Linked DNA regions of Caenorhabditis elegans. The protein of the gene in region 2 purifies or fractionates together with the protein of the main gene of each other region. This does not show direct contact. Each region holds a gene or a part of one and is shown on either strand. Other genes may lie near its edges. The genes, in order: ZK829.7 and R05H5.3.

What was found.
Region 1: the proteins of R05H5.3 (region 2) and ZK829.7 fractionate together in Caenorhabditis elegans (co-fractionation; one large-scale study listed by BioGRID). This does not show direct contact.

The regions. Positions count from the first base shown.
Region 1 is NC_003282.8:11,959,267-11,963,459, forward strand, and holds ZK829.7 (Enoyl reductase (ER) domain-containing protein), read right to left. Parts: upstream 2,270-4,193; 5' UTR 2,267-2,269; coding exon 2,056-2,266; intron 1,990-2,055; coding exon 1,748-1,989; intron 1,694-1,747; coding exon 1,254-1,693; intron 1,204-1,253; coding exon 978-1,203; 3' UTR 639-977; downstream 1-638. Other genes in the region: tgt-1 (Queuine tRNA-ribosyltransferase catalytic subunit), read right to left, coding at 1-79, 375-527.
Region 2 is NC_003280.10:10,195,855-10,199,085, reverse strand, and holds R05H5.3 (protein-disulfide reductase), read right to left. Parts: upstream 1,462-3,231; 5' UTR 1,460-1,461; coding exon 1,379-1,459; intron 1,326-1,378; coding exon 1,114-1,325; intron 1,062-1,113; coding exon 905-1,061; 3' UTR 768-904; downstream 1-767. Other genes in the region: R05H5.4 (Tyrosine-protein kinase), read left to right, coding at 1-58, 104-445, 491-754; srb-6 (Serpentine receptor class beta-6), read right to left, coding at 2,251-2,436, 2,486-2,678, 2,727-2,821, 2,890-2,991, 3,042-3,231.

The DNA.
Region 1 (4,193 bases), on a different chromosome or scaffold from region 2:
CGGGACGATGTCCAAGATGGTACGTGTTGCAAAGGAGAATTCGACAATCCATCGAGACTAGTTGTTCCGGTACGATTCCCTGTAAGTTTATTATATATGAAACTGCATAAACTCGAGAAAATATTTTTTTAATTTTTTTCAGGGAAAATCGAAAAATGAGAATCTGAAAAAAAATGTTCATAAATTTAACTTGCTGTAAACTTCATAAAATCTCTACTTTTCAAAAATTTGAAAAAATTTTCACTGAAAGTTAAAAAAAAAACTAACAGGTTTTATTTTTTGTATTATACTTTATTATGATCACAAACAAATTTCACATTTTTGAAAAAGTTTTTTTTTCAATTTAGAATTTTTATTCTTAATTTATTCCATACCTTCATAGTTCCCTGTGTTCCAACAGGCATAAAAACAGGCGTTTCGACGATGGAATGTGGCAAATGAAGATTTCCACGACGAGCGAATCCTGCTCTCGCCAGCACGTCGTACCTCATATCTGCCTGGCACGTCGGGAGCGGTTCCGGTGTCATTGGAGACTTCACTTCGTAAGTTTTTTTTTCGTTAAAATAGGAAATAATTATTTTTATTCCAAGTATAATTGGTTATGACCTTTAATGAAGTACTGTAACGGTAATTTGTTTTTTTATAATATTCATTGAATTCGTTTGTTTACATATTTTTTACAAACTAAGATTACCTAACTAAAAATTATTTTCGTTCTCATGTTAAAATTATTTGGAAGGATGCGGATCTAGAGCAAGAAACGGGAGAAAATGTGGATTTTATGTTACAGGGAATTTTTGAAAAGCAGATGGCAACACTATACTCAAAATACCGATGTCTGGGAAGTAATAGAGTAAATGCACAGGATGAAATAAGACTTTCTGACTATATAATTATGAGTGAAGGGAGTCGGGACAATGTATGAAATGGCAAAATGGGAAATACAATTATTACACCTTTGGAGGCTTATTGAGCAATTATTCGGAAGTGGCGGCAGGAATTGGAACACCGCCGCTCTGATCTGCATCTAATGCTGAAGAGGGATCGCAAACTTCGAGAATGGCACGACCTTCAACCTCCGACATCGACAATTGCTTCAACACTGCAGACGCTTGATCGACTGGATAAACTCTGTAGTCTGGAGCATCGATTTGGCCTCCGGCAATCAAATTTACAAGGTTTTTCAGTTGTTCGATACTTCCTCTGGAAATTTTGTAAATGAAATAAAGAAAGAAAAAAACTTCAAATAGTACCTCGTAACTCCCATAATGGCCAGTCTGTTTTTAGCAACGTGCTTGATTGGAAGTTGAACATCAAGACCGGAAAGACCTCCAACAAATAAGACACCACCTTCAGCGAGACACTTCAATGATCGAGTGACAGTTCTTGGAGATGTCACAAAATCGAAAACAACATTGACACCGGTACGAGCCACATCCTTAGTTCTCATAATCAGATATTCTTCAAATTCGGAATCATCCCAGTGTACTACAAAGTCAGCTCCGTTTCTTTCGGCCAGAGACAAACGTTCTTCTTTGGCATCAGCAACCATCAAACGGATCTTTTTATCATTGTTGATCGCTAGGAAATGCTTGGCGAGTTTAAGAAGCCAAAGTCCAAGTCCTCCTGCTCCCACGATAAGAATATTGCAGAATCCCTTTGATTGTGAAAACGCTTCGACTATCGGTCTGGCCTGGAAAAAATTGTTGATTAATACTGAAGAAAAAAACCGTGGAAAATGTCAAACCTGAAGAACAGCAGACAACGCCCAGGTAGCTCCAGCAGGCAAAATAGATGCTACATGCATTGAAAGAGTTTCTGGAATTTTCACAAGAAAATGGAGAGTTGGAACAGCAACATAGTCGGCATAACCATGACTGCACATCTCATCAGTTGGCCATACGATTACTTTATCTCCAATAGTCAGATCATAGTCACCAGGTGTGCATTCAGCGCCGAATGACTCAACAATTCCGGAAACTTCATATCCTGCAATAACGGATTTCGAAAATGTTATTTTCATTAGTTCAAGCCAAATTAATCTAAATTTCAAACCTGGAAACAAGCTGGTATCTTTGATTCCGTTGGTAATTCTTGCTTGCTTCGTGTTGGAAACTTCTCTATCAGTAAGGCAAACTCCTGCATAACAAACTTTAACGCGTGCTCCCTTTGGTGGGACATCTGGGATTGGCTCCTCGTCGAAAAACTTCACTTCCCGAAGATCCTTTGGAGATCCCAAAGAAATTCTTCGGTTTGTTGCTGGCATTTTCTGCAAGGAAAATTAAATTAAATAGGTTGAATAAACACTTCAATATCAATAAATTTGTTAACAAAGAATAAACCATCAAAGTGAGAGCATGGGTCACGTGTGTGTTTTTTGAAGAGACACAACTTTTTAGAGAAAAATCAATAGAATCAACATTGTAAACACTTGGAGAGAAATAAAATATTAGTGTTTTCAGTTTAAATGATAGAAAAATTGGTTCAATCACTTGAGACATTAAACTTTGTTGAGAAACAACGTGCCGAAAACAAAAAATCCGATTGAAAAACGGAAAGTGCGCCTAGTCACGATAACGGGGTCAAGAATGGCTTTGCGCACTTTGCGTGCCTTTTGGCGGAATTTTAAATACTAGTTTTTAATAAAGAAAACTTTTTTGCATTTTTCCGGCAAAATTACAGTTACGATTATTATGAAAGAATCTACTTGACTTACAATTAGAATTAGAGATTCAAATTAACTATTGATGTTTTGAAAGCTCTATCAACTTAGGCTTTTTGAGAATAAGCTTTTTAAGTAACCGGAACAACAACTAACTGACATAAACTTTGTGAAATGGAAAACGAAAATATTGCAGATGAAAAATAACAGTGGGAGAGTAACGAGACGCAGGACCCTACAGATGCCGAAGCATCTATTCGTCCCTCAATACATGTGCTTTTCACGTGCACACAAACGAATTTCATCATGACTTCTAGGGGAGAATGAGAGTAGAAAAAAATCTCGAATATTTTCCAAAAAATTGAAACATTTTTCAAAAAAAAAGTTCAAAAAAAATAATTTGAAATATCTCCAAAAAAATCCAATATTTTGCAAAAAAATAATTTGAAATTTTTCCATAAAAAAGTTCGATAATAAAATAGTTTGAGTACATCGAAAATGAGGAAACATCAATTTGTGGTTCGACGTTGTGAACATTTGAAATCAATAGATCATACACATTTTAAATAACTTCATAAACGTTTTTTTCCAAATCTATAAATGAATTAATCAACGTTTAGATACATTGGTTTTATCTTTTTGGAATCCCAATATCTTCAATGCAGAATTTCTGTGATCTGATAATGAACAAGTGATAACAACTGGATCAATTGCAGGATAAACGCTTAGTATAGGCACAATATATGTTGACAGTATTATGAAAGTATTTAAAAATTTCAAGAACTTATGAATCTATAACCTACACTCCATAATTATCACCGGCAAGTGGGAGGAACCATACAACAAATAAAGGGATGATTGTACTTATTAATGGAATTATAGTTTGCGCAATTAAAGATTTGAGAAGACTTGAATGTAATCTTTTCGTAGTACATGATAATGTGCATGCTTTCAGTGACAAGTGAATTTTTCGTGCAAAGAAAACATAGATGATCATAATAGAATTGGTGATAACTGCGGCTACAAGCATTCCCAGAATTCCACTTTTTGACCAGTCATTCACGGGGTACTGTAATTGTTTTTGAAGGGAACACTCATATGATATGATGAGCAAATATCATAGTACAGTCAGTCAACATTTTGAAGTTTTTTTTTAACTTTCCGTCATAAAGTGGTAATTACTCAGTTTTCACTTATTATGATTTAAAAAATTGATCAAGATACATTTTGCGTTGTATGACTTATTATTTGAAATTATTAATATATTCAAACATTATGCGAGGGCCAGCTTGCAACAATGTCTGATATTAATAAAAATGGCCAAACTTTTTGAAAATTCGCCAAATTACCAAAACGTTAACTGAAAACTTTAAAAAAAAACTAGAGCAAATTAAAATCGATATTTGGTCTTTTTTATATATTCTGAGTATACTTTCGTAGTATCCTATCTTACTATACTGTACCTTTATATTAAATGTCTTTCAACTTACAATTCTCACCTCATAATTTGCAACAATCATTGCCAAATCTC
Region 2 (3,231 bases):
CGTGCTGGAGTACTGTAATGGTGGAGCTGTTGAGGATCGGCTGAGAGATAAGGGAGAGGTGAGGGTGTTTCCAATTTAGCTGAAAGAAAATTAATTTTTCCAGAAAATAAAAGTTCCGACACGCGTCAAGTACACCTACATGGCTGCTTGTGGCATGGATTACCTGCACAAAAAGAACTGTATCCATCGTGATATCGCGTCGCGAAACTGCCTCATTCACAAGGGAGTCGTCAAGATGGCTGACTTTGGAATGTGCCGAGCCCAATCCGTCTACAAAGTTGATCTTAAAAAGCCATGCAACATCCGATGGCTGGCTCCCGAGGTTTGGGACAACGGGGAAACGCGTTTCAACACTGACGTCTACGCGTTTGGAATCATGATGTGGGAGTTTTTCGAGACCCCATTCAAGTCGCCATATGTTGAGATGAAAGCTGCTCAAGTCAAGGTAAATACTGCCAAAAAGGATCTAGATGTGTATTGAATTTTTCAGCGCAAAACCCGAGCCGGATATCGCCTCCCTCCACCACCATCAATGCCGAGTAGAATGGTGGAAATCATGAGCGAGTGCTGGCAAGTAGATGCTGAAAAACGACCAACCGCTGAAGAGTTGAAGGAAAAGCTGGAAGAGTTCAAGAAGAAAACGGAAAACTCCATCACTACTTCGGCACCACCTACAAGTGTGGAAAAATCGAAATTGTCCGTGTCGTCAGAGCCAACCACGAAGTCTGTGGATCCGAATAAATCTAGACTGTAAATGTAAATAAATCTTTGGCTGCGAAAGTTTTTATGGGAAATGTACGAAATTAGCCGCAATATTTGAAATTATGGTGAGAAATTGTGACAATTGATAAATTAGAGTGAAAGGAAACTTGAAATTTTTTGGTGTTACGTTGGTGGAGAAAATTTAATCGTAGAAAGCGAGCCACTCTTCCCAGAGAGCTTCTGGATCATTTCCTTTGTCCTGAATCTCGGTGCGAGCGTCCTGAACAACGACATCTCCGTTTGGCTTGACAATGCGCATTGATGGGATCGTCTTCACTTCGTATTGTTCAAGAAGCTCTCTGAAAATAATTATTTGTATACATTTAAAATTCGATTTTAGCTGAAACTAACTGAATTCTTGGAGTTCCAAATGGAATTGCAGTCCAGGCGCCCATGTGCTCAAGGAAGTATTCACGGAGATCACCGTCTTCACGATCGCGAGACACGAAAACAACCTCGAATTCTGGATGCTTCTTGCGAATCTCGTCGAAGAATCGAGTGAGCTTTGGAGTGAATTGACGGCATGGTGGACACCAACTGGCCGAGAAGTAGAGTCCGACGACCTGGAAATATTAATTTTGCCATTTTTTCTTCAAAAAAAAAAGAAATGTTTTACCTTTCCCTTGAGGTGCTCGCCAGCATCGAGCTCTTCGCTGTCTTGGTTGATCAACTTGGTTCCAGCGAGCAATTCGGACATTTCTGAAAAATAAAAGCTAGAAGTATTCATAAATTGAAATGGTAAAATGGCACCGGCGGAAGAAATGCGAACAAAATGAAGGTTAACTATAAGCTATAAATTCTGCAATAAAATTCGAAGAGTTTTCGCATCAAACAACTTCAAAAGCTCACAATTTGCTAAATATAAGACTTTAAAAACCGGGGTATCTGTGGAGAAAGCTCTTGGAGTTAGCCAACGCAGCAAAAAATGAAAAAAAAAGCGAAGAAACTCGATAAAATGAGAGGAAATGAGAAGAAAATTTTCGAATTTCCGTTCTAGCGCTTCTTTTTCGCGGCGAATTCAATTTCTGGCGCCGCTCCACAGAGCGCGCTTGCAAAGAGAACTCATGAATTTGTTGATCTTACGGAACTATTGACTCTCAAATAAAGCAAGATTACATTCGAAATATTATTTTTTTTTAATAAAGAGTAAATTTTTTTCAATGAAAAAAGCACAATAATTGTTCTCGCTCGAACAAAGTTTAGAAAAAGAATCAACGCAATATTTATTGATTGTGCCATAGAAGTACAGTAACCCATAATACTGTTTTTTAAACGTTTTTCGTAGTTAAAAAAACTTTTTTTCATGTACTGCAATTTCGTTTCTATAATAAAACAATTTTTCAGATAAAAAAGTATAAAAGTTGACGAAAGTTGCGAAAAAACTGGGATGGGTTACTGTACTTCTTAAAGGCGCACACCTTTGTGCACAACATCGATTTAAACATAAATATTATTGTCGTGTAATATATTTTTTCAATTATAAATCAGTCACTTCCGTCCTGATGACTTAGTCTTCCAAACATTTAAAATAGCCTCTTGATGAATCTGAGCCCCGTCAATTCCAGAATACTTCAATGTAACTTCCGCATAAACTTTTGCAACTTTTTGTCTTTGCAAATGCCGTAGAATGACGCATGAAGCAATACCAATAATCAAATTATACGTGGGAATAGTCTGAAAAAAATGTAATTTAGTCATGATTTGTCGAACACCATATTCTCACGATGTAAACACCTCTGACCGACATCAAATCGGCTTGTGTTTTCAAAAATCCTGGTCCTAGAAGACGAATAATTAGGGTGAAAATGAGATAGAGCGAGAAGAAGAATACATGAATAAATGAGATAAAAGTGGAGAATTTCGTGGTTATAATGTTCTCTTCCATTTGATAACGAGTTGATAAAGAATTACGCCATCTGAAATTTTCAGTGTTTGCATTTAAAATAATTTAAATCTGATCTTACTTTTCTTTCAAAATAGTGTTGATCTTTACCAAAAAATAATTGAAAACTAAATTTACACTATTAATAGCAAGTAAGGAATAGCATAACCAATTCATCTGAAATTTATGGTTTTATGTTTTAATGCCGCCTAGGTGAAATTTCCAAATTCCCTGGGAAAACTCACTTTATAACCGGAAGTATCAGGAACCATAAAGTATGAGATGGACGGTTGATCGAATTTCTCATCGAGGAAGAAGAAATAGACAAGTGCCATGTCGCAAAGCATCTGAACTATTTATTTTAATTTTAATAATAAAAAATAATAACGCTACTCACTGCAAAAACACCGATAAACACTCCAATATGAAGCTTAACATTTTCGTAGCAACGAGCAAAGATCAGAGCCAGAAGGCGTTCAGCAGTTATTCCAAGAATTGTGAGCATTGGGCAAGAAATACCGAAAACGCCGATATTTTGAAAGATACGGTTTTTCACGGGATTCACTAACAAATCACACTTGGAGACT